Linked DNA regions of Drosophila melanogaster. The protein of the gene in region 1 interacts with the protein of each later gene in a pairwise test. Each region holds a gene or a part of one and is shown in the gene's direction. Other genes may lie near its edges. The genes, in order: pav, Arf6 and tum.

Region 1 (11,347 bases):
GCCGCTGTCACAGTTGTCGTCTCGTGGCGTTTGACATGTCCGCCTCGCGTTTATTGGCAACATTGTTCACTTAATCATCCCACATTTACCATATTTATTAGCAACATCGATCTATCTGCTCGTATCCGAATGCACGGAATGGGGAGCCGTGGAAAATCCCTGGATCCGAAGGGAAATTGTACTCAACAAGCTTGGTGGAAAGACCCCTAATTTACTATTGTTATTATTTTCATCAGAAATCGAAATTTATATAAATTACATGTTTAATTTTAATTGAAATATCTGGAACCTTTTTCATGATATAATCTTAAAAGAGTTTAATTTAACTTGAATATCTTTATCTATTTCTGAAGTAGCTATAGATTCAAGGTCCCAGAAAAATCCGGGGCATAAAACATTTGCATTATATAACTTTTCGGGTCCGATCATTATATTTTAAGTAAAACCCTTAACGATGAATGACATAGGGATCCTAAAAGACCCTTAGAAAAATCAAACAATACGAAAGTTAAGGGAAGACAAGTTTTTTAAATCTCCTTTTTTAACGAAATACTTTGATTTAAATATGGAATTAAATTGTTATCAACATCTGAAAAATTGCAAAAATCATTTAATTTATATTAGTTGCAATTTTTAAAACTTGATTTAGAGTTTGACGTATATGAGTAGATGACCGCTGCAGTTTATTAATAAGATTTATTGGTGACCTTCATATTCTGATTAGAGTCTGTGCAATCTATTAATTGACCATTTATTTAATGTCCACATATTATAGGAATTGCTTGATAAGACTCGCAAGTAATCAAATCAAATGTGAAAATATTCAATTTTAAATTAAACCAGTTACTTAACCACATGCCTGATTATAAAAATATGCGAGTTTTTCGGCGTTTTTTTTTTTTGTTTATCCTTTAGAAAGCATGCGTATATTTTTACAGTGTAATGGCCAGTTACCAGCAAATGCAACTCAAATTCTTCAAACTCGATAAGGTTGCCCCTGGAGGTATACCATAAATATAAACCGATGCACTAAGAAGGCAAATAAAACGCTTGTTAGCCCCGATAAGCAGGCAAATAAATGATACTTTGTTAGCGCTGAGGAGCCGTATTTAAGGGCATGATCTCATGGGTCGCTTATCGCCGGGTTCCACTGTAGACACAAAGCAAGTGGTCCGAGCACACGCGCCACCTACAGATTGTTTTATTTATTGAGCCCCGATAAGCACACAATTCTTTGCTGTTCTCAGAATTAAGTCCTCGTATTTTAAGGCATGATGTCATGTGTTGTCTGTAGGCAAAATCCACTGTAGATAGTATTTAAGTGCTTCGAGCATTCGCGCACTTTAGAGCTTTGGATTATTTAGCACCAAATGAGCTTTAAACAGCTGAGTACAAAAGCATGCTGAAAAGCTTTTGCCATCTTTCAAGGTTAAGCTATGAATACACCCATCCGAAAACTACAGTGCAACCTGTTGCGTTTTCCCCATTTTTATTACCACATAAAAACTGGTTTTCAGCCACGTACACTCTGATTTTTATGGCCGACGGGCGAAATTAAGAAATACCACATTTTTAGAAGCCTGACACTTTTTCCAAATTAGTACGCTTAAAACAATTCTAACAATTTCTAATGTGTTATTTACTTGTGTTCAAAATCAGTTGTTATGTTCGATTTCACTGACAAATTTTCCCACACTCGTTTTGTTTTCCTTGATAGCCGGTCGAAATGTTGGGAAGCACTACACAGTGCCGCCTAAGCATCTTCGGCATTTTTTAAATTTCTAAAGTTTTTTCTAAATTTGAAATAGACCAAACTTTTTGCCAGTGCAGCCGGTTTGATAACCCCCCATTGAAAGCTCTTTTTTGCCAGTCTTCAATCGGTTGTGGGCACTTGCAGTCCGTTTTGTTTTTCTTTAACGCAGATTGAGGGATCGAAGATCATCCAGCTGTTGCGATGAACCGTCGCCTTCCAGGAACCATCAGCCAGTGCCAGAAGCTTCTCCTAGCCACCCACAACCATGCTCCAACGGCCTTCTCCACCAGATTCCTGTCCACATCTCGAGTGAACCGCGAGCGGCAAGAGTAAGTTTGTTTATATAGCTGCGAAAGTTTATGACATTTTCCGCGAAACAAATGGCATGGCAAATCTATATCTATATCTACCAAAACAAATTGAATTAGTATGTTTAGGCTAGTAACTAATTAATGGCGATAACGAAGAGATAACTTGTTGGCCATGGTTAGATGGCACTGATGGTGGGTGTGGTCATGCGACTGTACTAATCTCCCTTGAGGTGTCTGTCATTGTATATTCCAGCAATTAAGTAAATCCTATTTTTTCCAGATGCCAAGTGCTGGTTGTGGGCGGTGGCACCGGTGGGTGTGCCATGGCCGCCAAGTTGTCCTCACGTTTGGGCAGCGACAAGGTGGTCGTCCTGGAACCGGAAGATGTGAGTAAGCCCAAAGGCAGTAAATAATCCATTATGACATAGCGCGATAATTCCCCATAGAAACATTACTACCAACCCATGTTCACCCTAATAGGAGGTGGTATGAAGAGATTGGATCAGAGCCACCGCCAAATGGCCGATGTGCTGCCCACAAAGGCCAAATGGGTGAAGGAGAAGGCGCTGGAGTTCGATCCGGATAATAATACGGTTAGCACTTCTGGTGGCAAGACCATCAAGTACGACTTCCTGATCATCGCCACCGGACTGCAGCTCAATTATGGAAAGGTACGTAGGGTATCAGTACGTTTAATAGTTGCTAATATCCATATCCACATATCCATAGATACCTGGCCTGGTGGAGGCCCTGGAGACCCCCGACAGTAATGTTTGCTCCATCTACTCGCCCAAGTACGTGGATCATGTGTACGAATGTCTGCGCAGGACCAACAAAGGAAATGCTATATTCACGTTTCCCAATTGTCCCATTAAGTGTGCAGGTGCACCGCAGAAAATCGCCTATATATCTGAGCACTACTTTAGGAAGGTGTGCATCATTTAGATAGAATATCTGGCAAACAACTTCAATTTGAAACCCTTTTCAGATGGGTCGTCGCGACAACGTCAATATCATCTACAATACATCGCTTCCCGTGATTTTTGGTGTTAAGCATTACGCAGAGGCCCTGATGAAACTGATCAAGAGGAGAAATATCACGCTTAATGTTCAAAGAAATCTCGTTGAAGTGAGACATAAAGATAATATAGCCGTGTTCGAGGATCTCGCCAAACCAGGAGTTCACTATGAGGAAACGGTAAGTGCTGGTCAATTAATTGGGTATTCTAGATACTATATAGATCTAGATCTAGATCCTAGAACTATATCTTTCTACTTAAAGCGAGAAATATGAAGAGTAGGTTAACTAAGATCAATTTTAAAGTCGTATAGTATTGCAGAAATAGGAGAATTGAAGGCCATGAAATTAAACTTATATAAGTATTATATCTTTCTCAGTACTCCATGCTTCATGTGACTCCGCCGATGAGCACTCCGGATGTGGTGGCCAACTGCAAGAAACTGGTAACCCCCACTGGCTTTGTGGACGTCGACCAGTTGACGCTGCAGCACAACAAGTACAGCAACGTGTTCGCCATCGGCGATTCGGCGTCCAGTCCCAACTCGAAGACGGCCGCGGCGGCAGGTAAATGGGTTGGGAATCCTGATCAGAATATTCAATTGATTTTTCACCTCCAGCCGCCCAATCACCGGTTGTGTTCAAAAACGTAATGGCGGCGATCGAGGGCAAAGCCCCAACGGATATCTACGATGGATACTCGTCCTGCCCCATCGTCACCGGCTACAGCTCCTGCATCCTGGCTGAGTTTGATTACAACCTCACCCCCGTGGAGACCTTTCCATTGGACCAGTCCAAGGAGAGGTACTCCATGTTCTTTATGAAGAAGGAGCTGATGCCGGTGCTCTACTGGAAGCTGATGATGAACGGCTACTGGAACGGACCGGCACTAATGCGGAAAATTTTCTCAGTGCTAAAGTTTAATAAAAAGCAATAGGGACCTCAAATGATCTTTAATTAATTTTAAAAGAATATTTGGCATCATCATAACCATTCCATACCTTAATATCATACTAATTTATAAACATTGTACTTTTAATTTGGTATGTGAGATCATAAATAAAAGTATTAAATTAGTTTAAAATCTAGTATATCTAAATATTTTAACCTATTCAAATGGCACGCACTGTACATAGCCTCGGTTTCAGTATGTATCAAGTATATATTGGAGCAGGGGATGGTATTTGCAGCATTAACCGCTTTCTAAAGTTCGGTCACTCTAAAACCAAGCGTGGCGTCGCTTGGCGCTGTAAATTTGAAGGTAACGAACTAAAAGAGAGATCGATTCCAGCAACAAAACAAGAAGAAACCCAACTCCCGTATATCAAATTAGTTGCAAAAACGAGCTGACAACATGAAGGCAGTGTAAGTGATATGACAGTTCCCGAAAGAACAACTCCATCAATGAGAATACCCATTTGCAGACCCAGGACGCCGATGCGTGTCGTCCCGAAAACTCCGCGGGTGCATCAAACGGTGGAGAAACAGCGACGAGACACCTCCGACAAGGCCAGGGATCCAGTGAATGTGTTCTGTCGAGTGCGGCCACTACAATCCGACGCAGATCTCACCTCCCTAAGGGTCAAGAACTCCACGACGATCGCACTGAATCCGCAGGATCAGCTGCTGCAGCATCACAAGCCACACAACGGCGCCCAGCGCGAGGTTCAGTACATATTCAAGCACGTTTTCCAGCCGGATGCCACGCAGCAGGATGTGTACGCAGCTGTGGCCCAGCCGTTGGTGGAGAACCTACTGAAAGGCCGAAACAGTCTGCTTTTCACCTACGGCGTGACTGGAAGTGGAAAAACGTACACCATGACCGGCAACCTGCGACACCGCGGCATCATGCCGCGCTGCCTGGACGTGCTCTTTCGCACCATTTCAGATTACCAGGCCAAGAAGTTCGTCTTCAAGCCGGACAAGCTTAATGGCTTCGAGATCCTGTCCGAAGAGGATGCGCTTTTGGAGCGCCAACACGAGATGAACCAGCGTTTTGCTGGCTCAGGACGATTTGCCTTCAGGCACAAGGACTCGGATCCGGAAATTGCATCCCAGGCCTCCGTGGAGCCAATTCCGCTGCTGGGTTTGGATGAGGACAACATGTACTCGGTGTTTGTCACCTATATTGAAATTTACAATAACAGCGTCTACGACCTCCTTGAGGACTCGGGTATACAGAAGTAAGTATTTATTAAGCATTACATTTAAAGAAATCTAACTGTATTCTTGACCCGACAGGACTTTGCAGAGCAAAATCATTCGTGAAGATGCCAATCGACACATGTTCGTCCACGGCGTCACAGAGGTGGAGGTCAAGACCGTGGAGGACGCCCTCGAGGTCTTTCAAATGGGCCAGAAGCGCAAACGAATGGGACACACTGTTCTCAATGCAGAATCCAGTAGGAGTCACTCGGTGTTCAATATACGCTTGGTGCAGGCGCCCACTGATAGCCAGGGTGAGAATGTGGTTCAGGACCGGCAAAACATCACAGTGAGTCAACTGTCCCTGGTGGATCTGGCGGGCAGTGAGCGATCCTCAAGGACCAAGAACACCGGTGTGCGACTCCGTGAGGCGGGCAACATCAATAATTCGCTGATGACGCTGCGCACTTGCCTGGAATATCTGCGCGAGAACCAACTCGCGGCTAGCAATGGATTGGCACCCAAGAAGGTCCCCTATCGAGACTCCAAGATCACACACATGTTTAAAAACTACTTCGATGGCGAAGGCCAGGTGTCCATGATTGTGTGCATCAACCCAAGAATTGAGGACTATGATGAGAATATGGTAAACTATTTTTCTGACAACAATGTACTCTGGTCCCTAAAATTTATTTATCCCGTTTAGCAAGTGATGAAGTTCGCCGAGATGACCCAGGAGGTGCAAATTGCTCGGGCGACTCCTATGAAGCAAGATTTGGGTCTGACTCCCGGCCGTCGCAAGGCCAACAAGCTGTTCAAGATTGCCGTTAATAATCTAAACGAGCTGGGCATTCCTGAGGCCAAGGATTTGGAGGTGGACGTGGGTTTGGTGTACAGTTTGGGACCCGATTTTCCCGCCTACGAAATGGACAGTCCCGAGGCACAGATCAAAATCCGCGAGCTAATGCATTATCTGGAGCAGCGCATAGAAAAGCGAAAGAAGCTGCGTGCCAACTTGGACATTAAATGTAAGACGTCACTTTCTTAATCTTAACATTGAAATACTAATTCCACAACTTTCAGGTGACAGCTTCCGGCAGATGCTGATGAACCTTGACCGCGACAATCTTCAGCTGCGCACGGAGCTCGCCTCCTTAAAGGCTGTTTACAAGCAGGAGCGCGATCGCAGTGCGGCACTCGAGAAGAAGGTTCGCATCCACGAGAGCTCCATTGACGTGCTTAACAATACGCTAAGCAAGCAAGAACGGCAGATTGAAGAGCTGACTTTCAAGCTGAACGAGAAGGAGAATATGCTCACCCAAAAGGAGCACGAGAAGGAAAAGCAAAAGAAGAAGTTCAGCTCCAAGCTGGCCGTTGAGTCGGACAAAAATAAGCGAGAGTTTGAACTAAAGCTGCGTGAACAGCGAGTGAAATTGCAGGAACGCATGCGCATCAAGGACGAGAAGTTGCGATTGGTCTCCAACATTCTGCAGTCCGAAGATCTGCCCAGTTTGCCGCGGTCACAGAGCTCGGAAAACATACTTAATGAGAAAGATCGCGGTGCATATACGGCGCGCACGGAGGAGTCCTCGGTGCCAGCTACACGAACAGATATATATGCAACGCCACGTCATGTAAGTGTATGATTAATCCTAGAATATTGCAATATCTATTGATAATTTTATATCCCAACAGGGTGCAGCAGCGGCCAACAATCGGCATAGACGCTCTCGATCCGCAGGCGACAAGTGGCTGGAGCATCGGGCAGCTAATCCCGTTCCGCTTGGCACTATTATGCAGCCGTATCTGAAGAATCGCAAATCCGTAACGAAACTAACCGACTTGAAGGAGTTGACTGCTCACGGAACTACGAAGTACTGTCTCGTCTCGCAGGATGCGGATACGGATGGCGATGTGGAGACGAAGCTGTATAAGGGCAATGTAATTCCCACTTGTGGCGGTGGTGCCCAAGTTGTGTTCAACGATGTGGAGTGCCTCAAGCAGAAGTCACCGGTTCACTCGCCCACGCGAAAGCGACCCAGCAATGGCAACATTTCGGCTCTGGGCGGCGGTGCAGTGCCCAGCACGGTCACCTCAGCCCAGGACGTAGCCTCCCGCTGCAATCTCGGCATTGAGGGACACAGCAGCAAGAAGTCGAAAATCTAAAAATGACTCAGCGTGGAATTCTCAAAGTCAATTACCCATTTAGTTCATAGTTACTTAGTTTCCATAACTTAAATTTAAGTTTATTACTCACCCACTTCGGTTTTTGGAGTTGAATCGCATTGAAGTGATTTGTTTGATTAAAGAAAAGTTAATCTGTATAAATAATCCCGTAAATGAATTCGCAACCCCTCGCAAATGGAAATGTTTCCTGCTCCAAATAGTCGGTACCCGGAGGGTATCTGCCAAGAGCAGTTGTTAGAAACTATCCAAGCATCGTCCAATCATAGAACTACTCTAGTGTTATTATAAAGTATTAAATATTTTATTGTTTTTCGGAGTGAACCCAACTCCAGTCCAGTCACAAAATGAACAAATAAAGTGAATTACGCGCATATACTGAAAGTGATCAATTTGGTTTTTATCAATTTTAGATTTTCTGGCTGCAAAGCTCCCAGAGTTCCGTGAAGCAATAACATGTGGCACATAGATGGTTTTAACTATTTTTATTATTATTCCTGCGTTTATTCAGATTTATGCTTAAACCGATAAATTTTATTGAAATACATACGGTACCATTACACATACATATTTGTAGATTAATTTCAATTACTAATAAATCAGTCTATAATTAAAATATATGTTCGCTTAATGATTTCACGTGTGTGAGTGTTGTTGTGTTGCAGTGTTCATGTTGCAGTTGCTGTTTCGTGGGTGTGAGTTGCTGCTCGATGAGTTCGGCAGATGACTCTTAAACGCTATGTGCGGCAAATGTGGCAGGTTCCTGGCAAATGAGGAATTTCGAATTTGGAATTGGAAGCCAATATCGCTAATGCTACTGCACGACAAATGAATCAAATCAAATGTAAAAGGGAAACAATCAGAACGTGATAATAGAATTTAGGTACATACCCGTTCAAGTACAATTAAACAAAACAAGTTGGACGAGACGAAACAAAACCACAAATGTAAACATAATAGGCGGCAAACTCAACTCAAGTGGTGGGCCAATATTAACATATCCATCTTATCCAAATTTCATTTAAACAAATTACAATTTAATCAATATAAAGCTCTGTTCTCATAAACGCTCTCTCAGGTTCACACGACGCGAAACAATTATTTGCATCTGCAGTTGTAAATCTGCGCTTTATAATACGTAATCATAATCATAATATTATCATTAAGGTAATCGATTCTTGCCATATACACAATAGCAATAAAAACTAAGAAGCGAAATTATTCTACGGTGGAAAACGAATTTTGGCTATGAAGCAACGTAATTTAAAAGGGTATTATTAACAATATACACTCACAGCCACAGCCACACCCCGACCACCCGACTACCCTACTCTTCTTTCCCTTAATTGTTTAATGTTTTTTGTGTGTGTGTTACGGTGTGTGTGGTGTTAATGGTGTGTGTGGTGTATGTGAGCAGTTGCGTTTTGTTGGCAAGGCATTCAACATTACGTTGCGGACCCTCACATCCGCGGCATCTGTCTGTGTGTGCTTTTCTGTGTTTGGATGAGTTTGCAATGAAATCTCGCTTGAAGCTGTATACTAGCTGCCCCGTCCCTGACCGTTCACCGCCTGAATCCAAGCGAGACGGCGGCGTAGGCTCCACCGGAAGTGCCCCACCGTCTCCTATGAGCACTTCACACATGCACCCTCAACATCAAAGTCGAGGACCATTAGCTTTGTTTCCTCCGTTCCGTTGCGGGAACCGACGGCACAAATGAGTTTAGTGTCGTTTGCTCTGAAAAGTTTTTAGATATAGTTAATTACATTTATAATGAGCGGATTTATATCGTCTTGGACTTACCTAATCCGCCACACAACGCCGCCGGATCCACCAGAGTCCAGAGCCACAAGATTACGTATAAAGTCGCCCGTCTTAACGTCCCACAATTTCACGGTGCCATCGTCGGAACTGGTCACCACAAATCGGGAGTTAAATTGCAGGCAGGTGACCGCAGAATGATGCTTATTTGGACCTAAAGGGGATTTAAGGAGTACCAGATTAGTAGTGGATCTTTTACAGCATGTTAGTGAAAAGTAAACACGGAGGATTCAAACTTACCCGACAGCGTTTGCAGACATTGTCCGGTTGTGATGTCCCACACCTTGACTGTCGAGTCGGCGTTGCCCGAGACAAGAATGTTTTGACGCAGTTCCATGCCAGAGGTCAAACTCTGATGACCCATCAGGGTGTGCTTGCAATTGCCCGTCTCCACGTCCCACACGCGAATAGAGGTGTCCAATGAACCCGATACCACATGCAGGCCATCAAACTGTGTGAAATTTAGAATGGTTTACGGCAAAGTCCGACAAAGAAGTGTTGACTATCTTACCTGCAGCGAGTAGACGCGATTTGTGTGGCCCTGCAGTGTGTGCAGGCACTCCTGGCGCTCCGGATGCCAGATCTTCACCATATAATCATACGCTCCGGACACAATCAGCTTCCCATCGTACTGCACACAACGCACAGCAGCCAAGTGACCAACCAAAACGTGCAGACAGGAGCCTTGTTCAATGTCCCAAACCCTCAAGGTTGCGTCTCGCGAGCCACTGACCACTCTGTTGAGAAATTCGTCAACAATCAGCATTGGTTAGTGGATAGTTGTGTGTGGTTTTAACTTACTTGCTGCCATGCAAATGCATACACCGCACAGTGGACGTATGCCCCTGAAGTGTGTGCACACATGCGCCGCTGTCCATGTCCCAGACTTTGAGCGTGCGATCCGTGCTGCCTGAAATGATGATATTTCCGGACATTTGGGAAGACCAAACACCACCGGTGTGACCAACCAAAGTGCGCAGGCACTACAGTTGTTGAGAAAGATATCTCGTTAGCAGGGAAACATTAAATGATTGCTTGTTCGATTTACTCACCTTTCCGTTCACCGCTGACCATACTTTAAGTGTATTGTCATCGGAGCCGGACACAATGCGATTGCCAGAGAACTGCAGGCACGTAATCACATGATCGTCGTGGCCCTTGAGTACCTTGGGCTTGCGCACAGGTCGCGACCGCCAGTTCATTTCGATGATGTGCTGACGCATGTAGGCGGCCTTCCAGGGCGAAGCAATTGGCGGCATGTTGCCATCGCGTCCCCGTTTCGGGCGATCACTACGCGGCTCGGCGAGGATCTGGGCTTTGCGGCACTTCTCCTTCCACAACAGATTGTCGTCGCACAGGAAGCGCCAGCTGCGGCAGGTCTGCGCTGCCCTCAGCAAGTCTTTGGGCTCCAAGTACGAGAGCACAAAGAGGGCTAGCTCTCTTGGCAGCAGGGAGATGAAGTCCCGCTGGAACTGCGGCTCAATCACCTTCATCATGTGCCGCACCTGAGACGGATCGCAGTGATCGATGAGACGGTCCAGGGCCAGCAATCGCTCGACATGGGACCATCGTTGGAATTGTGCCAACCAGTGCTGCAGCTCTGGTGGCGGATTGTCACGAGACGGCACGGAACGTGGGGTGCGACGACCCAAAGCCGATCCCGGCGTGGAGCTAGTCAGATGCGATGAGGGCGTCACCGATAGCACTGCCGTGGGTCCCAAATGTTGCGAGGAGCGCGGCGTAGATGCAAAATCATAGGCAATCCGCTTGCGGCAATTATCGCTCACACCTGAACCCGGTCCGCCCACTTCGCCGCTGGAAGATATAGTCACCGAGTAGTCGCCGCCATCCAGCAGACGTCCCTCGTTGAACTTTCGTTTGCGCTGATGAGACATTAGCGAGCTGGGATTGGTCAGCGAGTATTCGGTGAAGCCAGCTGAGGCAGAGGACAGCGACAAGGAAATGGGCTCATCGGGATCCATGGCGTCCATGTCGAAAGTCTCGCTGAGACTGGCATTGCTTCCGCCGTAGCTGCTTCCGTTACCGTTCTGGCATGTGCAAATCTCCTCCAGATCGGAACAGTTGTTCTCCTCATCGCAGTTGGCCCAAGGTTCCTC
Region 2 (10,978 bases), on another chromosome or scaffold:
ACAAATCTGAGCAATCGACTGAGTTTATGGTTACATCAAGAGCTGCACTTTCATGAAATGTTAAAACTTAAAGGAAAAGTTCGTGCATCGAGGGCATGGGGTTATCGTGGAGTCAAAGTTTCTTTTAATGCCAAGATGATAAAATTGTTTATTGTAATGGGTTTTTTGTTCTGTTGAATTGGAGAAGTTCTGCATAACACTCATCGAATATTTGTGAAATTTCAGTAACTCATACATAACGGTTGCCAAGCTGAGATGACACTAAGGTTTCATGGAAGCGGGGTAGGATTGCAAGTCTCTTAAGCAGGCATTGATGAAGTCAAGCTCGCGCCCGTGGAACCAGTGGAGACAGTCCCGCTGGGCGATCTCTGGCGCTGTGGGCTGCTTTGTGCCTTAAGGTAGTCCACGAACATACGCCTGGCCTGATTGAGAACCCGAGTGACGTCGTGTTTCCTCACCATTTTATCAAAGTGCATGGCAATCTCGTTGTAGTCCATGCCTGCCTTCATGATCGTGTTTCGGTGCTGTAGCAAAAGTGTTAGACAGAGAAACATGAGGAATGCATTACCTCCACCGAATTCTGTAGGTGGAGGCAATGCGGCCGCAGTGGTATTCACTGCACTGACTCCATTAAGATGGGTTGAACGCTGGGGGGATCGCGTATAGGCGCTCTCGTCATCTGCATTCGTGGCGATCTCCACCAAAGGCGAAACCTCCACTAGACTCGGCTCAGTGGAAATGGGCAGGATGACTTCGGGCAAACTGTTGCTGTTGCGCATTCCCAATGGACTGTGCCCATCCATAAGTTGGCTTTCGTCGATGAATGGATTAAAGGCATGCGACTCGTTTTGCTGAACGCTGTTACTCTTAGCCGCCAGTCGCTGTCGACGACGCATATGTAGCTCACTGACATCGGGACAGGTTATGATCTCGTTCTCCTTGAGATCCTCCACTAAGTCCAGGGCGTCCTTGTCCAGCTTCTCGTACTCGATGTCTTCCCGTTTCTCGCTCTCCGTAAAAGGCAGCCCAAAAACTTGTCGATCTAGATTCTCGGCCTCTAGGCGCAGCTCACGCGTTATGGCCGTCGTCATGGGGTAGTACTCCTGGTCGGGATCTTGATCCGGTGTGTTTGAATCGTCGGGGTCGCATGGGTGATTGCTTTCCAAATCTAGCTGTAGATTGTAACTGCTCAGTTCCTGTGCCTGCTGAATGGTCGTCGCAGCCGTTGAAGCGCTCCAACTGGTTTCCGGAAGTGAGGAAGAATCAGATTCGTCCAGGGAGCTACCCATCCCACTCTTGGTTAGCTGTACCACGGGCTTAGTAACCGAAATTGGACCGGATGTTTGTTGCGGCTGAGTGGCAAAACGATCGGATATACGATTCTTATTAATAGTTGCAAAATTTAGGAATTCATTGAAGTTTTTTACAAGCTTTGGCGGCATCTTCCGATCACCATCATCTTCTCCTTCTCCATCAAAAGAGATACCAATACGACTGCTTGCCGCCAGCTTTTCCTTGAGATCCTTAAAATGGCCACCACTAGAAGTGCTTACTCGCTTCATACTTTCACTCACTTGACTAGCATTAGTAGCTAGCTGTTTGGCGATGATATTGCTCACGGTCATAATGTTTTTGTGCTGCAGCTTGGCCTTCCTGTCACTGGGGTCCTCGTCCAGATTCGAGGAAGACGAACTACACAGAAAGGCTCGTCCTGGTGAAACAGGAGGTGTGGTTTCTCTTTCTGGTGCTCTCTGAGCATCATCCTTAAACGGATTTGTCTCCAAAAAGCTTGGCGACTCCTTCCTATCAAATACATCATCATCTTCGGTTTCCTCGCCGGCGGACAAGTTTTGTTCCAACTTGACATTCCTATTATCCAAAGCGCCCTCAATAAGCGCCAGCATTTTTGACTCGTCCAGACTTTGATGGACCTTGGCCGAAGTCCGTCTTTGGCGGCGAGCAGCGGCTGTCGCATGACGCGACATATTGTCGTCTAGGCTGTGATTCAGCCGTTTTGTATTGTCCAATCCGTGACTGGTTCCCACCGAAGAACTTAGTGAGCTCAAGGAGGCTGAAGAGCTCTGACGGCGCAAAGCGCATACCTTGGTGTAGGGACTTTCACGCGGTTTTGTCAGCAGATAGGAAGGACTGGTCGGCGTAGCGCTGTAGGAGCTGGAAAAAGTGCTGGCGCTATTGGGCACGGAGGCATCAGTAATGGGTACGAATTCCTGTGAAAAATCATGGTGATTAGAAATTAAGCAATTCCCTTTGGGTTTCGCACTAACCTTTTCAAAGAGCGCCAGCTCTTTCTCCCCATCACATCGATAACGAAGTGAACTCCACTGCACCTCCAGCATGCGAAGGGCATCCTCAAAAGGAAACTCCCGCTTTAGCTCCAGCAGTAGCCAACGGTAACAGAAAAGTAAGTCGTCCGCTTGCTGCGACTTGAGGTACTCCCAGAACTCAGGATCATAAAAACTTAGCGCCTCCGTTAGGTGAGCAAATTTCTGAGTCATTGCAATCCCATCCAGCATGAAGTTTCCACGCATACGTGACATTATCGCACAAAAGCAGATGTAGGCCTGTGCCTCGTCGTTCATGGTAACCAGTAGCGGGGAAGCAATGTCCGACATGCCTTGACAATATGAGACCGATGGATGGTTTAGTGCATATGTGGTGAGGATATTGAAAAGCGCAGCGATGTTCTGATTGTCGTCGCTGCCTGCATAAAATGGATGCAGGCGGTCCGTGCGGAGAACATCCTTCTTTACCATGCTCGTTACGTAAGCCAGTTCTCCAGCCACACTGCCTCGCTTCACGGCCGCTTTCCATGTGTCTCTCAGACGACAGTACTGCTCAGACTTTCGTCGCATGAATTCCATACGCTGGTGTCCATCAAGTGCCAGTCCGTTAGCGCCACCGGGATAAACGTTAAGCAGATGTTTCCACACAACGCGCCGCAGACTGGGGTCAATGCCTCCTAGGAAGATGACCCTATGCAACTCGTCCTTGCGTTGAATCTGACCAAGTGCGTCCAGAAAGAGCCGGAACTCGCTGTCGCACATGGGCGGCCGTGGCGGTAGATTGGCCATATGCTCCTCGGATAAGTTAAACGCTTTCTGCACTATGGAGAAGGTTTTCTCCATCTGATTCAGAATGGAGCTGCCCAGTTTGGTCTGCATGTGCTGGACATATTTCTGGGAGACTCCTAAGGACTGCAGTGGTGACATAAGCTCGCGGGCGGGTACAAAAGGTGCAGGAGTTGCGGGAGCAGGCGCTCCCGTTATGGATCTACCCGGGGAGGCCTCGGTCTCACACTCCCTGACCACCGTAAATGGCTTCACATCGATCTGCAGGGTGAGGCAGGGTTCTGAGGCCGTCTGAATGGAAATGTTGTGAATCCTCAGAAAGGCGGCATCCAGATCCCAGTCGGAGCGCACGGCCAGGTAGATCTCGTTGCCCGCCGGATCAAAGGCCTTGTACTTAATGGAGAAGTCCGACTTGACATCGAAGGCCTTGGCCAGCAGGGAGTACAACACCTCCAGCGTGGTGATCTGCGGGTCCACTGAAAACTTTCGCCACTCCGGCCGAGCAGTGGGTTCGCATTTCTGTGGGCGATTTCAAAAAAATTAGATTGAGGAACACAAACTAAGCAGCCCTTTTGTTGTCTCGCCTTCTGGCCACCTTTCACTTGCCTTCACTTTCACCCGAACCGCCTCCCGGGGGCAAATGCCAGCCATGTTTTCCGAGTCTGTTCTGGTCGACGACTAACTAAGTTCCATTGTACCTCTGAGCGATGTCAGTATCGTAAGTATTGCTCAAATATAAAACAATACAAAAGAAGGAAACTGAAATCAATCGACTTGATTTCAATCATCGGTTTCAGTGTGGCCGCCCTAGGGCTTTGTAAGTTCACCAGGGCTACATTAAAATACCAAATCACTAAATACACAAAACAAAAATTTTTAAAATTAAAAAAAATTAACAAATTGTTGAACGTACGAGGAGAATATATCAGCTACATTGTTTGCTAAATTAATATGAATAATAAATGAATATAAGAAAATAAATCTTTTTCAATTTTGAATTGCAAAAGTAATAACTTATTGGCCAAAAAATCACGATATCCCCGCCAGTCACCGTTTTTCATCTGATAAATTCAGTATTTTTGGTATTTATCCTCCGCATTCTTTGCATTTTTTAGCGTATTTTCTGGAATTCCCGAAGATCTTGTTCCGCTCTGCGCTAACGGGCACATTGCTTCGTGTATGTGTATATAAATACAAGAAGATTAGTGCAAAATTGTTGTTGTTAGTTATAGTTTTTTGGCCGCCGTGTGCTAGCAAATGCATTTTATGCCCCGGCCCGCGCACTTTGGCACTACATGTTAACGGATTTCAGGCTGGCGTGGAACGAATTGGGCTGGAAAGCGGTGCGTAACGGCGGTCGTCGGAGACTTGGGTGTGTATACATGTGTATGTGTGTTACGGGCGTGTTTGTGACGTAGGCAAGCAGCAGCGAGAGAGCGAGCGAAATTCCGTAGAATCCGAAAACCATCCGATATCGTTGCTCCCAAGCCGGCTTTACTGGGTCGTCGAGGGGTGCGGTGGCTGTTCAGGGGGCGGGGGTGGAGCGGTCGGATCCACCCGCCCATTCAGTGGAGCCAGCGATAAGCCCGCAATTGAGATAACTCTGCCTCAATTTGCGAGACACTATAGTGTGTTTATCTGTCCAATTGTACTTCCTATGTGTAAGCATGTGTGCGTGTGTTTGTGTGTGCGACTGTGTGCTGCAAGCTCTTCACTGATAAATTCTGCCTCTCCACTTTTTTCTCGCTTTTTAGCAACGAGCTGATGACAATGTAAGTGAAATTATTATGCAAAATAATGGTCTTAGCTTCCGCCGTCGTACAAGCTCTATATGGCCACCAAATTGCCTGTGCCCGCCGTATGTGTACATATGTAGCTACATTTGTATGTTCATATATCACTTACGCGCCTTCGCGCGACGGCGTTCTTATATCATAAATTGATATGTTAACTGCAAACTGTATTACAATGGCCCTATTATCTGGAAATTCACTGACCCTGCCCTGAATCTCGCCCAGCTATTCTTATCGATATGCTTATTTGGAAGACCTCGCCAACTCTACTCGAACTGTTTTTCAGATTGGCTAAGGTTTAATGGATGACACATCAGCACCATGGGAAAGTTACTATCAAAAATTTTCGGCAACAAGGAAATGCGAATTCTCATGCTCGGACTGGACGCGGCTGGAAAAACAAGTAAGCACATAAACAATAAAGGGTTCTCGAATTCGATTGTGGGCCTGATTAGTACCCATTAGTTTCATCAGTTTCCTAAGTGGAAACCAATCCCATTTAAAAAATACTCTTGAGGCGAGGCAATTATTGTTTTGTTTTTATTCTTATTGTACTTTGAAAAAATGTACAATATAAAGACCTTTCAATACGTACACCAGTACTATCACTAATCGAATTCGAGCTATTTTGTTTATACATCCTTTGCGTGTCTAAAGTAATATTGTTTTTGTCCACCCACAGCGATTCTGTACAAACTGAAACTTGGCCAATCTGTTACAACGATACCCACTGTGGGCTTTAATGTGGAAACCGTCACCTATAAGAATGTCAAGTTCAATGTGTGGGACGTCGGTGGGCAGGATAAGATTCGACCGCTATGGCGACACTATTACACGGGTACACAGGGTCTGATCTTCGTCGTGGATTGTGCGGATCGGGATCGGATAGACGAGGCGCGCACGGAGCTGCATAGGATAATTAACGATAGGGAGATGCGCGACGCCATCATACTGATATTTGCTAACAAGCAGGATCTGCCTGATGGTTAGTATAGTGCTCAGCCAATTGTTTCCATCCGCTTATTGTTCTCTCTTGCAGCAATGAAACCCCATGAAATCCAGGAAAAACTAGGTTTAACTAGAATAAGAGATCGCAATTGGTATGTACAACCATCATGTGCCACATCCGGCGATGGCCTGTCCGAGGGCCTCATTTGGTTAACGTCGAACCATAAGTTATGAGAATCGTAATCGAGCATTTTCTTATATGTATGTATATGGCATGTATTATTCGAAGCGAAGCAAAAGCGAAAATATTCTATTTTATTTATACAAAGAAAACCAACCGCAAGCGCATAGTAAAAACTCAATTCGTAAAAACGAACGTACATAAATTACAAATGTTAAAAATGGTATATAGAAGTCAGATATATATAGTAATTATATATACTCTCAATTAACCAACCAATATTCTCACTAGTAAAAATACACATACCTACAAAATAAAAGAAGCATCAAAATAAGCAGCCGGTAAATATCCGTAAAGTAAATTATGCGTGAAGCACAGAGACATAAAGCAAAACATCAACGGAGATTAGCCTTAAGTAAGTTTTTCTTGTAAATTATATTGATGAGACACGTAAGCAATAAGTTGAAAGCTTGTTTATTGCAACTGTTACTATATTTGACTTGAGCAAGGGTGTAACGAGTCTTAAATAAATTGTAAATAAATATTCAAATTAAAGCCCATATACAACAACAAACGAAATAAAAGAAAACACCGAACAAACAATTGAACAAACCTATAGATTGCTATTTAGATTAAAACTGAGTCTTCAAAATATAATGAAATAGTAACTGTGCCTTCCTCAATGTGTGTCTATGATCCCTCATTATTTTCCCCACTCCAACAGCTAATTTTCTCAATCTGATATCCTTCGAGACGAAGAAGGTCCCTGGATTTGCGAGAAAGGCATATTCTGACTTCAGTGTCAAACGCATTTGGTTTGTATTGTGCGCTCAATTTGAAAGGTAAACATGCCACATTCAGTGCCATAATTTGCAGGGTAAATGAGCCTGGGTATACCTGAGCATGATTTGTTCAACACGGCGTTCAATAATTTACCTTTGTTTTGCAATCATCCCCGAATTGTCCGAAAAACTCCTTGGTACATCCTTGCATGAATAATATAATTTATTTTTTGTGGGTGTATGTCTTGTTTTATACCTTTACCGTTTTTATCAAAACCAACCTATTCATAATACCCCGTAATATCTCAGTATCTAAGATTTTTGTTGCTGAATTATAATTATAAATTTTAAGTTATGAAACAAATCATAGGTTTCAAAGTTATTTTCTGTAAATATGTTTTTGTATTATTATTGTATTATAATAATAAAAATATATAATAATTAGTAGAGTCACGTTTTACAGATGAAAAGGTTGTGATGAAGATGACGAGTTCCCAAATAAACGTCATCTAGCGATCCACGAAGTGACGAAGCGCTTATTGCCAAGATAATCTTGTTAATATTCTCACATGAAGTGACACATCCTATGAAATTTGTATGTAGAATTAAACGATTCCGACTTAATAAAGTGTATATATTGTTAATATATATATTATTAGTCAGGATCAATAGCCGAGTCAATCTTTTCTGTGTGCAGAATCCCAGAGTGTAGTATTTCCTTGGTTTTGCGTCTCCTCAAGATGCGTGTTTGTTCTTTCCTTCGTTTGCGAGTTATCTCCAGGATCCGTGGTCTCCTTAATATTTGGTTCACGAAAACAGCAGGTATATGTTGGAAAAAACTATTTATTTTTTGTTTACGATTTTAAGACGATTAAGAAATTGGGGTATTAGAAGCGCCCATGATGTCCTCCATGGTGTCTGTGGTGTTCGCCAAAGCCGCCTTGTCCGCCACCGAAACCACCTTGACCGCCAAATCCTCCCGGTCCGCCACCGAAACCACCTTGACCGCCATATCCTCCCGGTCCGCCACCGAAACCACCTTGACCGCCATATTCTCCGGGTCCGCCACCGAAACCACCTTGTCCACCAAATCCAGGACCTCCACCGAATCCTCCCTGTCCACCAAAGCCGCCTTGTTGACCACCAAATCCTCCTTGACCACCAGGTCCAAATTGAGGTCTGGCCAAAACTGCGGCCACCAGGGCAAGAACAACAATCTATAAAATAGACGAACGTAAGATCCTTCTACTTTCTTTCACATAACCCAGCTAGCTTACCAGTAGTTTCATTTTGCTTTAAATTATTAAACTGAAATCCGCTCTGAAAGTGGCCTCTTTATATACCCGATCTGTAAGCGTGGACTTAACTATGTCTCGACTTTCAGATACCTATTAAGCGTAGTACACTTACGATTTGACAAACGTATGTAAGCAAATGTAAACTTACAATGTAATAATTGTTTCGATTATTTGTATTTAATTTATATAGCAGAGGCTGGAGATTTTTAAAGACTTTTTATTTTCAAAATTTATAAACAAATGTGCCAACCTTAAGCTATTTATTTATACTCTCACCAAAATACGATTACCCTGTAAAAAATTCAACATGTTGATAACAGAAACAGGAGGTCATTGTTTAGATGAAAACAAAACAGTCGAATTGTTAATCACAGACAGCGGAACCACCAATTAGGCAGAAAGTATTGTTTTTTTGCGTTATTATTTGATTTTCATTTTGGGCACGTGTGCGAACTTTTTATGTAAAAGAACCTATTTAAAAAATAATATAATAATATGATGTCTGGAAAAAAATTAAATTTAATAGACAGATTAACGGTTTAAAACCAGACTATGAGAAAATTCATATATAAATTTTAATTGTATTATTTACTTTAATATGTCTATGTCTATTTGGATAGTACAGATTATTGATTGGAGTGCCCTGTGAAAAAAATATACAAAAAATCTGTCAAAAAAGTCTTTGTTTTGTTAATATGTAACAAACAAAATGTTAATCTTACAAAGAGGAAATATACTCAATATACAAATATAGACAAAAGTTATATATTTCGATTTGGGAAAAAAGTAGTATAATTTAAGAATTGCTGTTGCTAAAAAAAAGACCGATTTTGAATTTCTAAAATGCATTTCTCGAATAACTTGCAGAGGTTTATAAAATAGATGTGTCATTTCTAAAAACACAATCTTAAGAACTTGACAAATTGAATAAACTATTTAATGTTGCTTTAATCGACTGGTACTGAGATTAGTTCGGGAAATCGAAGATTGATAATTATTGCGGAAGTTCAATAGAAAGTTGTAATGGTGCTTGTATTTTTGGCATATTGATGTCTATGTGTTTTAATTCCTAGTTTAATGTGAGCAATAACTATACCTTAAGAATTAAGTCAACTTTTTCGCAAGATTTAATTTTTTTTTTTTTTTAATTTACTTTGTTATACTTAAAGTTGCCGTTTTAGTAACGTCCATGATGTCCATGATGCTTGTGATGCTCGTGGTTACAGTTCTCGTGACCAATTCCGCCGGAGAATTCTCCCTGTACAAGTTGGGGGCCTGCTCCGAGCTCTCCTGCGGCATATAACTGGCCCGATTGGGGAGCTGGTCTTCGGTAGCCTCCCTGTCCGCCGCCGTATCCCAACTTTCCACTCTGAGGAGTGGCATTGCCATATCCTCCCAAACGTCCTTGGCCCGAGAGTCCAAGTGCGAATTCATTTGGGGGCACGGATGCGCCATATCCTTTCTGTGCACTGCCGTATCCACCCTGAGTGCCGCCGTATCCCACCTGTTCAGTCAATGGAGCGGGTTGGCCATATCCACCCTGAACGCCACCGTATCCTCCTTGCCCGCCACCGTATCCTCCCTGCCCGCCACCGTATCCTCCTTGCCCGCCACCGTATCCTCCCTGCCCGCCACCGTATCCTCCTTGCCCGCTCTGGGAAGCTGATCCGCCGTATCCGCTTGGCGAGCTGCCGTATCCACTTTGTCCGCTCTGTGGAACGGATCTCAAACCCCACTGGGCGGTTGCTGCTCCGTCGTATCCCGGTCTGGCCAAGGTAATGCCCATCAGGGCGAACAGGACAACCTAAAGGGTAAATAAATTGAGGATTATGTAAACTTCACTGACCATTAGCTTAATCACCATTAATTTCATCTTGATATTTTTTTTCGAACTGTAGTCAATGCCAAAGAGTGTCTTCTTTTATACCCAAGCTAGTGGGCATTGCGTTTCGACATTTAGTTACCTGTTATGGACTGTCATTGATTTTAATTCAGTTTATATTGTCATAGTAGATATCGATTGGGGGGTATCTTGCTTTTGAAAGGAAAGGCTTTTTTGATATATTTAAGCAATAACTTTTCCGGATCTCAACATTCCCCTATTCCAGAATCTAAATTGTAGGTACATCCGCTTAAGAAGCACACATTCCTAATCAACTTCGACTACCCTGTGGAAAATCCCAAATTTTGATGGCGCTGAGGTCAATGATTAGTAGAAAAATAAAACAAAATTTTGGACACGGCAGGGAATGCTGCGATTAAGCAAGTGTATTGGCCTTAAAAATAAGTGGTATAATCAACTTGTAAAAAGGGCAAGGGCAATAAAAAATGTATAAATTTCATTGTCGCTAAAAATGTTACTTTATTAATGGCCTCGATTCAACGCTTTAAATTTGTGATAAATTTTTGAATACATTTCAATATATTTTGCTTAGAACCATTTATAGATAAGCTAGAAATAAATTATTTGTGAATTTGTAATCTCAAACAGTTTGTATATATGTGTTTGGTTTGATAGAACAAAATAGAACAAAAACTTGAGATTACATTTTGGCCGATAAGCAGCACATGTTTACTTTCGTGTACACTTTTTATTATTTATTTTATTATATTTATTTCATTTTATGAAACTAACTATGTTACTAAGAATGTTAGATAAACGTTTACGTTTTAAAGATACAATAGTAACTAACAAATACAATTCCTTGTAATCCCGCTTTACCGGAACGTAAATCAAAGATACAAAGTGTCTGAATGTTGAATAAAAGAGGCAGTCCATGAATTTTGATTGATTAAATAAAGTGCACTGCACTTGATAGGGCTTGCCACCCACCGCCCTCTCCAGTGGGTGGCACTCGCAGAGATTTGTCGGTGTGGGTGAGTGTAC
Region 3 (10,119 bases), on another chromosome or scaffold:
CCTGAAATTTGGAGAAAACACGGCGACCGTTTGTCGCTTAGCCAAAAATACCAGCAAATAACATTATAAATCTCTTTGGCGTCATTAAAATTCAAGTTGGCAGCAATGTAGCGACGGTCATACTAACCTGCATAATAATTTTCGTTTTACTCTTTTGATGGTCAAAAATCATAACTACTACTAACAAATGTTGCGCCGAGGCTTTTTATCTCGCATCAACGCAGCCCAATGGAGCCGCCAAATGTCGGTGGTGGCCAAGTCCTTGAAGTACACACAGCACGGCGAACCACAGGAGGTTCTGCAACTGGTGGAGGACAAACTTCCCGATCCCAAGGACAACCAGGTGCTGGTGAAGATTCTGGCAGCTCCCATTAACCCGGCGGACATAAACACCATTCAGGGTATGCTGGCCATTAGGATATATCACAAACAAACATATATTATGCATGATACAACTGAAATATAGCCATAACCGGCATGAACTGCATAATTAATAACGATAATCTTCTGCTGAAACAACTGGATAAGAACTGAAGATCAGAGATACTTGTATTCTAAGTATACCCACTTGCTTGAAAGTCAGTTATGGGATAATCAGAAGTAATCCATTTAAAGTTAAACGAATGTTATCAGTACATCTTTGTACTTTGAACGATGCTCAAGGTTGTGGCTTTAAATTTTAAAGAAGCCTAGCTTGTTTAAAGTCACTTTGATAATGATTATTATAAATCCTTTACAGGTAAATACCCGGTGAAGCCCAAGTTTCCAGCCGTTGGCGGCAATGAGTGTGTGGCGGAGGTCATCTGCGTGGGCGACAAAGTCAAAGGCTTTGAGGCAGGACAGCACGTCATTCCCTTGGCCAGTGGCCTGGGCACCTGGACCACCCATGCCGTCTACAAGGAGGATCAACTATTGATCGTGTCCAAGAAGGTTGGCTTGGCGGAGGCCGCCACCTCGACAGTGAATCCCACCACTGCCTACCGAATGCTAAAGGACTTTGTGCAGCTCTGTCCGGGTGACACGGTCATCCAAAACGGCGCCAATAGCGCCGTCGGCCAGGCAGTGCACCAATTGTGCCGAGCCTGGGGCATCAATAGCGTTGGCATTGTACGCGACCGCCCAGAAATTGCCGAATTGAAGCAGATGCTGCAGTGCCTGGGAGCCACCGAGGTCCTAACAGAGGCCGAAATTCGCACCAGTGACATCTTCAAGTCGGGCAAGTTGAAAAAGCCCCGTCTGGCCTTCAACTGTGTGGGCGGAAAAAGCGCCACGGAGGTGTCGCGTCATCTAGACAATGGCGGAGTGCTGGTCACCTACGGCGGAATGTCCCGCGAACCCGTCACAGTGGCCACTGGACCCCTCATTTTCAAGGACATTGCATTTAGAGGCTTCTGGATGACTCGCTGGTCCAAGGAGAACTACAGTTCACCAGAGCGTTCGAAAATGTTCAAGGAGATCTTCGAGCTGATGGAGCAGGGAAAGTTCGTGGCCCCCAACCATGAGATGGTGCCCTTGGCAAAGTTCAAAGACGCGGCGGCCGCTGCCTTGAGCTTCAAGGGATTCACCGGCAAGAAGTACATACTGGATATGAGCATTTAGATGCGTAACTCGAGGCTAAGCCTGCTGTTTATTTACATATACGACTTGTGTATTAAAATTGTTATCTACTGTGATACACTTTAGACCATCTCCACCTCATTGGACTGATACTTCAGCTGCAGAGTCATGGCGGACGGCGAGGTGGCATCGGTGACTGTGAGCTGCTGTCCATCGTGTAGACCCAGTTCGCCCAGGCTCTGAGTAAGGTTCTTTCGGGTGGCCTCTTCAATGCTCTTTACCCCGGACATGTACAAAGTCCGCCGCTTGCCGTCCTTCATCACAGTGGTCAAGGCTGGGCTTTTCAGCTGGAAACGCGGGGAATCACACAATAGCTTTATCACATCCTCCAGCGTGGTGGTGTTGGGATCCTCAATCGGCAACGGCTGCGGTGTATTGCTGCACGCCAAGCAGTTTTCCGACTTCTCGGCCTCGTAGGTGTAGGTATAGATTCCGTCCAGGTCGTTGAAGTTCAGGTAGTTTGCCATGCTGTCATAGCAGCTGGTGGCCAACTTAAAGACCTCCAAAGCACAGGCGGCGGCAATGGCTGCATTGGTACTGGCCACAGCTGGAATGATGTGCTTGACAACGCCCTGGACCAAGCGATAGGTCACTCCGGTGATGTTAAACTCATTGGACCGCTCCAGTGCCCGTTCGTAGATCCAACCAATGTGCTGGGGATCGTCCCCATCGAGGGGCACTCCAAACGGATTCTGTTTCTCCCACTGTATGATCTTTACGTACTCAATGCAATGCTCCGGAAGCCTGGGAGTATTTGCTATGGTGCATAGGGGATAGTTGACCTGCGGCGGGAACAGGTCCAGCGTGCACTCAATGCAGGCCGTGAAACCGGGCAGGATGACGCGTGCGTTCCCCTTGAAGCCCTCGGTGCCGCCATCAATCATGGGCACTATGGAGCTGGTATCTATGGTGCCGTCCTCCTCATATCGCAGCATTGATAGCAGCATGCCATTGATCCAACGCCGGGCGACAATGGAGTCTAGGCCACAGACAACCAGGTGGAACTGCTGATAGAAGGACTCATCGAAGTCCTGGATTTTCTTGAAATGCGGCGTCACCCGGCAAGTAGGCACTCTTGCGTTGATGAAGCGAGCCGCACACTCCGCCTTGGAGGCGCCAATGTCTGTGCGACGGAACAGAAACTGGCGATTCAGGTTGGACAGCTCGATGGTGTCCATGTCGATGACGTGCAGGTTGCCGAAGCCCATCAGAGCCAGATCCTTCAGCAGTTCGCAGCCCAGGCCACCGGCTCCGATGATCAGAACCTGGCACTTGGTCTGCAAGAACTCCAGGTTTTCCGACGAGGCCGCGAAACCGTCCTTGCAGAAGGGACCTTCGCGTTCCAGGATGTTCCGCAGTCCATTGAAACGCTTGCTCTGGAGGATTAAGCCAGGATTGGGTGAGTGGACAGACATTTTTCAAACAAAATCGAGACTGTGATTCGTTTAGCAACACTACTCGGGTCGGAATAAATATTAGTGATGGTAGCTTATGTGAATAAGAATTTATATAAGACATATTGTAAATAAAAAAAAATATTGTAATTATATTATTATTAATATAATCATTTCAAAAGTATTAATAGGATAACATTAAATTATTTTTTATTTAATTCCGAAAGAATTGTTAACTTGAAACAATCTCTATCATCTCTAACACGATCAGATCGATATTTTCTGTTAGCATGACTACCCTACTGTTATTTCGAGCCACCCATTAATGGTCACACTGCGCAGATGGCGTCAATTTGAAAACAACGGAACTTGAAAAAATTCAGCGCGTCTTTTGCAGCGTGCTCCGTTTGCCACTCGTTTTTGGGTAAATACTACTGATTTTCAGTAGATTTCGAAGTTGAATCAAGGAAACCAGTGTGCAGGCAGTCCCTGCGAGTGAAAACCGATTCGTAGAACTACCGAGACAAGCAAAAATGGCGCTCTCCGCATTGGCGTCCTTCGATGATCTGCGACGCTGCATGCAAGTGCTTACCGATGGAACTCCTGAGGAGGGTGAGTAAAACTGAAAACACGCAAGGCAAATGAAGCCCTACATGATGCTTGTATTCCATTTAGAGTTCCTGCGGTTCTTGCGCATGTTCGAGCAGTACCACGAAAAGTGCGCGGGCTACGCGGCCGAGACGGCCAGGATACAAAACGAGCTGGACAAGTCGTTGACCAAAATGGGCGACCTGGAGGGCAAACTCTTTCACGCACGCCGCATCATCGACATGGAGATCAAGGCGCGCCGCCAGGCGGAACACGAACGAGATGCCATGGAGAGCAAGATCATGGCTGTGGCAGATCTGCTGCGACACGAGCGCAATCTGAACAACGAGACCCGCGACAAGCTGGCCTTTCTGCACACACTGCCCTCGTCGCGAAAGCGCAAGTCCCTGAATGCCGTGCGGGAGGACAAGTCCTATGGCGACATCAACTCCACCGGATCGTTGCTGTCGGATTTGTCTATTACACACTCCGAGGACGACTTCCTCGATGTGCGCACATCAAAATCTTGGCGAGAGCATCGTCCTTCGCTGCCCAAGAACCAGATTCCTAGCGTTGGCAACAAGAGATCGCGATTGAGCACTGGACTGAATGGCAGTATGTCCGGGACTACACCAACCACTGGCAAATCGCGGCGCTCTAGCGTCGGAATCGGAGTGGAGCAACACACGGTGGACGTGGGTCAAGGCGCTGAGCGCTTTTGTGCCACCACCAAGGTCACCATACCCCAGGATGGACAGGGCGTGATTCGTGCAGAGTCGACCATTGAGTCGCTGCCTGTAATTGCCGGCAACGAGAGGATCGGCGACGGACTATCCTCGACGCCACGGCGATCGGTGCTTAAAGAGGCCACCGCACCGCCGCTGACGCCGGTAAATGCTATGGCACCTCACGTTGTCGCTGAATCCGGAACGCCACTGCAGCACCGTCCACTGATGAGGAACCACACCTTCAGTCAGAAGACATTCTTGCGTGGCGACAATTGCGTTCAGTGTCAGAAACGGTAAGCTTACTAGAAGTTCTGCTCCAAGTAGGTTTTTTTTATTAATTAAATACTTTTTATACTCTTCAGCATACGGTTTGGAGCCGTTGGGCTGAGATGTCGGGATTGCCCGGTGCGCTGTCACATCGATTGTCGGTATCTGCTCACCGTTAGCTGTGTGCCGCAAACGGGAACACCGACGACGAAGACCATGACTGGCTATGTAACGGACTTTGCACCATCTATTGCACCCATGATCCCGGCACTGATTGTGCACTGCGTAAATGAGATTGAAGCCCGCGGCCTGACCGAGGTTGGCCTCTATCGATTGTCCTCGTCGGAGCGGGAGTACAAGGCCCTCAAGGAGCAGTTCCTGCGAGGCAAGGCCACTCCACATTTGGGCAACACGGATATCTATGTGCTGTGCTGTTGTGTCAAGGATTTCCTGAGGTCCCTAACAGAGCCTCTCATTCCCACCAGCCAATGGAAGGATTTCGCAAACGCAGTCCAAAATCCTGACACCAAAACTGCCCAGGATATGTTGGTTAAGTCGGTGAAGCAGCTACCACAGGCCAATAGGGATACGCTGGCCTTCCTCATACTGCACTTCCAACGAATTGCCCAGTGCCCAGTCGTGCTAATGCCGATCGATAACATCTCGCTCATCTTTGGCCCCACCATTGTGGGCTACTCCACACCAGATCCCGACCAGCATGCGATCTACACGGAAGTTTTCACCCAGAAGCAGGTGATGAAGGCACTTCTTGAGCTGCCCGTTTCGTTCTGGGAGCAATATATCGTTATAGATCCGACAAGAACACCGGCCACAGTTATCAAGCGGGTGCCAAGCAACAAAAATGACTTACTCTCGCTATATGGTGAGTTATTTATGAGCTAATTTTTTTAATTATTCTAATTATCTCTCCTTCACAGCAACTCCCTTCAAAGGAGGCACCATTAAGAAGCGGAAGTTTTACGGCACACCGCCGGCATCTGCGCACAAGAAATAACGAGACTTTCCTTGTTGGAAAGCATTTGACGTGTTACTTAAGTTTACTTCAAGTATTTTGCAAGTTTTTTGTTTCCGGCCAGCCAACCCCGAGCTGTATTTGTACCCAACCCAACCATAAGCTTTTCTTTATAATTTATGCGTTCGATTATAAACTAAAGCACGTTATTATCGTACTAACATAAGTATACTCACCAGAGAAATAAACTAAAATATGCATTTGAAAAGCAATAAGAACAATGAACAAATATATAAATAAACGATAAAAGAATATAACAAGTTTTTATTCAAGTTCAAATATTTTTGAATCTGTTTAGTGAACTTACTTTTTTATATTCTTGATGGCAAATTATTGGAGGCATGTTAGTAACCAAAAGTATATTAAACATTTCCGGATTTGGATTTGGAAACGGGAATGTTTCGCCACAAAACGTGCATCACAACTAATGGCAAACTCGATACAACTTTGGAATATCCCTTTGATAGGATTATCTAAAAACGTGATAAGCTCGGTCATTGAAAATACTGACTGCCGCTCAGAAAACCCCATGACTGATAATTGTGCACAGCTAGAGCCGTATCATCATCAAACTGGTTTGGACAACTCTCGTAATAATACCCTTAACTGCGCCATGGAACCGTCAGTCTGTCGATTGGAACCCATTTAGAATGTTCGGAGCGCATCAGAATCTCTCAATTCAGCTGGTGATTTTTCTCTCCTTAGCCGTCACCATTTGCTTGGGATCCCAAAATGCCACAAGCTGCGGGCATCGCTGTGGAGGAGGCGACTGTATCCAACTGGACCAGCTGTGCGATGGGAGCGCCAACTGCTTGGATGGTTCCGATGAGACGGTCGCCATGTGTGAGAAGGTCTGGTGTCCGGGTTATGCATTTCGCTGCAGCTACGGTGCGTGCATAGCCAGCACAGCGGTTTGCGATGGCGTCCAGGACTGCGTGGATGGTTCGGATGAGCAGGGTTGGCTGTGCCGGGCGCAGATGCAGCAGGCTAACTGCGACAACTGGGAAATGTACTGCTCCTCTGGCCAATGCATGACCTATTCCAAATTGTGTGATGGCATCCGTGACTGCCGAGATGGAGACGATGAGCTGGAGTCCCTTTGCGAGGGCGTTACCATACCAACGACTACAGTCAGTTCAACGACAAGTACAACTACGGAAAGTAGTATCCATAGGATAACTCCCACTGTTCCTGTAACAAGGAAGGCGTCACGACCAAATCCTCTTCAGGAGAACGGGGAGTGCGTGGTTCCCCAACTGCCAAACGTTATGGTTAAGCACTTCACAGATGCAATCCTCACTGTAGGATCAAGGGTAGCCAATGGCACCCGTATCTACTACGACTGCCCGGCGGAGCACAGACTGAAAGGCGAGAACCAGAACATTTGCCAGGACGCATTGTGGGCTAGGAAGTTTCCTTACTGTGAAAGTAAGTTGTGTATTTATCAAAAGTTTCTTCATTAATACTAATTTATTTACTTTTAGCACCCCAAGCGTATGTTTTCAGCTTGGTTATAGTAATATTCTGCTTCCTAATCGTGGTATTGGTGTTTCTAATTTGGCGGGTGCGTCGAGAAAATGGCTCAAGAAGGCAACGAGAGGAGCACATTTGGCTGGTGGAGACCAGCAGTAATCTTCCCCAGACATCTTCAATACCAAAGGTCTAGGAATTAATTTTTACAAAGCTAAACATGTGATCACGCATACTTACTTATTTACCAGCCAAGTTGTTGATAAAAAGTACTGTTAATTTCAAACTATCTAGGCTTATCTTATGTAAATAATGTTATTTCAAGTTCTCCATAAAAATTAAAAGCTTAAATACGAATGTATATTTATTTTTAGAGTAAAACGTGAGAAGTAGTATTATATTGTAAATATATTAAAACAGATTTAAGAACATAATAATTGTGTTATTAGGTTGCACATTTTAATTTCGGCTGTTAACAATACTTTTGCGTTAACAGCTGTAATGCTAGAACCACTTGTTGCTGCGACCCAAACTGTGACTGAAACAGTGACTGGAAATAGTGGCATTTCTGGTGGGAGCGAACGCGGTCACACCTGCCCCACTAGTGCGCCAATATTGCTCCAGTGCTTCGCAGCGTAAGTATCCCAAGTTCTAGAGTGGCTCCATGCCAGATACCGCCACAGATTAGATAACGAATTGCACTTGCAGCCGGCTCAGAGTTCCTTCAATTGAAAATGGCCAACATTGCTAAGATCTTCGCTAGCCGCGCCCAGTGCGTCCTGCAGGCAGCCGCCCGTCAGCCACAGGTGGCCACCCGTTTCAGCAGCTCCTGTAAGTAGATGGTTGATTGCGAGGGATCAAAGTCCACGCGATTGATGCCCAGCTCCAACCTAAGCCGGAATATCAAGATATCAAGTGCCGCCGGTTTCTTGGCGACATCTTTTGTACTTTTCCAGGCAAATAAACATTGATTGCGTAACATTCGCGCACATACGATCACCTCATTTATGATGCCATCTCTTTTCAGCCACCAACAACAACTGGGAGTACATCAAGACCGAAGTGGCCGGCGAGGGCAAGAACGTAGGCGTGATCACCCTGAACCGCCCCAAGGCCCTGAATGCCCTCTGCAATGGCCTGATGAAGGAGCTGTCCACCGCATTGCAGCAATTCAGCAAGGATAAGACCATCTCCGCCATCGTTTTGACGGGCAGCGAGAAGGCCTTCGCCGCTGGCGCTGATATTAAGGAGATGGTGGGCAACACCTACTCGCAGTGCATCCAGGGCAACTTCTTGAACGACTGGACAGAGGTGGCCCGCACCCAGAAGCCCATCATTGCTGCCGTGAATGGTTACGCCTTGGGCGGTGGCTGTGAGCTGGCCATGATGTGCGACATCATATATGCCGGTGACAAGGCCAAGTTTGGTCAGCCTGAAATTGCCCTGGGCACCATTCCCGGTGCCGGTGGCACCCAGCGTCTGACCCGCGTCGTTGGCAAGTCCAAGGCCATGGAAATGTGCCTCACCGGCAATATGATCGGCGCCCAGGAGGCTGAGAAGCTGGGTCTGGCCAGCAAGGTGGTGCCCGCCGACCAGTTATTGGGCGAGGCCGTCAAGCTGGGCGAGAAGATCGGCACCCACTCCAATCTGATCGTGCAGCTGTGCAAGGAGGCGGTTAACACGGCTTACGAGACCACTCTCCAAGAGGGCCTGAAGTTCGAGCGTCGCACCTTCCATGCCACGTTCTCCACGGTTAGTTCAAGTTTAAATATCTGCTTAACACTATTTAATCTCTTGTATTTTCTTTCATCCAATAGGCCGATCGCAAGGAGGGCATGACCGCTTTCGCCGAGAAGCGCCCTGCCAAGTTTACCAACGAGTAAATACTACCCTAATCAATCCCAGCCAGCTTTGCATTTATATTATCTAAAAGAAAAACTGTTGTTTCTACGCAATTAAAACTTTAATCGTGATAATTTGAAAATGAACAATTTACCATAATTTGTCATTAGTATATGAGGTATGCTAGTCCGCATGTCAGGTGGTAATCCATTAGTATAAACATGGTATGGCCACTTGACAGTCGGCTTGCTAGCCCGATTATCCTCCTATTTCTAATCGAAACAAAATAAGTGCTTAGGTGACTTCCATGGTTGTGTCTTGTTGCTTTCGAGTTTGGAAGGCATGTTTTTTGGAAAATTGTGCGCTGTGTAGCGTTGCCTTCGTGAAGAATATTCAATCTCATGGAAATCTATACCTCCCCGTATCCTTCTCGAGCCATGTGGATTTTTATAGTGCCTGGAGGCATCGGAGTCATCGCAACAACGAGCTAAATGTCGATAATTTCGTGACCGTGAGTAGTTCTTATCCCTGTGCATGGGACAATGTTCTGTAAATCGGAAACGATTCCCCTTTGGTTCAATCACACAGGGATCACTTAGTTCGGTGGTAAACTCGTAGTTTCGATATGTAACCAATCCTCGACGTATGCCCGGATTTTGTGACTCAGTTGGCCGTGAGGTGAGCAAGTAATCTGTGCACGGCCTGCATTTCTCTACATGCCTCTTAGCCCGCTTTTTGCGCTCCCGATGTTCCTCCCACTCCCGCTGGGCACGGGATACCAAAGGCTGAGGAACTTGACAGGGAGCTGTCTGGCGTGTATCATTTGAGTGGCAGCTCCAATGACTGCAACTATCCGAGGAACAACTTCTGTTACGTAGTGGGGATTTCTTTGCTTGCGACTTCTGATAATTCCTGCCTCTTGGTGGCCGCCTGGAACAGGATGGTTGCCCAAAGGAGGAGTTGGTACTCCTGTACGTAACGATTTCTGAGCCCGATGTGTGCGTATTTCGTATCGAATTGCCTCTTTTCTTTATAGTTGTAGACCATAACTTGGGATCTCTTGGTCCGCGTATATCCAGGATACTGTCCTGATCCCTGAAGGAGATTTTCCTGTCCAAAGGATTCATTTCGCTGCATATTACACTTTGCTTAACTTTTTGATGCTCCAGATCAGAAGTCT

Evidence for each region.
Region 2: the proteins of pav (region 1) and Arf6 interact in a two-hybrid assay, tested with the Drosophila melanogaster proteins (one study listed by BioGRID).
Region 3: the proteins of pav (region 1) and tum interact in a two-hybrid assay, tested with the Drosophila melanogaster proteins (3 studies listed by BioGRID).

What each region holds. Positions count from the first base shown.
Region 1 is NT_037436.4:4,238,442-4,249,788, forward strand, and holds pav (pavarotti), read left to right. Parts: upstream 1-4,292; 5' UTR 4,293-4,436; coding exon 4,437-4,447; intron 4,448-4,506; coding exon 4,507-5,265; intron 5,266-5,323; coding exon 5,324-5,873; intron 5,874-5,933; coding exon 5,934-6,255; intron 6,256-6,310; coding exon 6,311-6,861; intron 6,862-6,922; coding exon 6,923-7,393; 3' UTR 7,394-7,792; downstream 7,793-11,347. Other genes in the region: Sqor (sulfide quinone oxidoreductase), read left to right, coding at 1,955-2,082, 2,345-2,450, 2,511-2,735, 2,794-2,994, 3,053-3,262, 3,463-3,649, 3,703-4,019; ago (archipelago), read right to left, coding at 9,035-9,146, 9,213-9,384, 9,471-9,681, 9,742-9,967, 10,032-10,213, 10,283-11,347.
Region 2 is NT_033778.4:15,318,281-15,329,258, forward strand, and holds Arf6 (ADP ribosylation factor 6), read left to right. Parts: upstream 1-4,220; 5' UTR 4,221-4,432; exon of another isoform or gene 4,433-4,461; intron 4,462-4,522; exon of another isoform or gene 4,523-4,750; intron 4,751-4,843; 5' UTR 4,844-4,861; intron 4,862-5,168; 5' UTR 5,169-5,203; coding exon 5,204-5,285; intron 5,286-5,564; coding exon 5,565-5,867; intron 5,868-5,921; coding exon 5,922-6,064; 3' UTR 6,065-7,210; downstream 7,211-10,978. Other genes in the region: CG8155 (uncharacterized protein), read right to left, coding at 300-2,228, 2,286-3,608, 3,696-3,740; CG8157 (uncharacterized protein), read right to left, coding at 7,681-8,010, 8,071-8,082; CG8160 (uncharacterized protein), read right to left, coding at 9,269-9,895, 9,953-9,964. UniProt on the Drosophila melanogaster protein: GTP-binding protein involved in protein trafficking; may modulate vesicle budding and uncoating within the Golgi apparatus. Promotes cell movement and remodeling of the actin cytoskeleton during compound eye morphogenesis.
Region 3 is NT_033778.4:13,851,911-13,862,029, reverse strand, and holds tum (tumbleweed), read left to right. Parts: upstream 1-3,340; 5' UTR 3,341-3,544; coding exon 3,545-3,623; intron 3,624-3,686; coding exon 3,687-4,620; intron 4,621-4,689; coding exon 4,690-5,477; intron 5,478-5,532; coding exon 5,533-5,609; 3' UTR 5,610-5,880; downstream 5,881-10,119. Other genes in the region: CG16935 (uncharacterized protein), read left to right, coding at 188-401, 740-1,599; Uba3 (Ubiquitin-like activating enzyme 3), read right to left, coding at 1,680-3,032; CG6553 (uncharacterized protein), read left to right, coding at 6,278-7,055, 7,112-7,293; Echs1 (Enoyl-CoA hydratase, short chain 1), read left to right, coding at 7,832-7,928, 8,125-8,849, 8,915-8,980; CG30485 (uncharacterized protein), read right to left, coding at 9,212-10,119.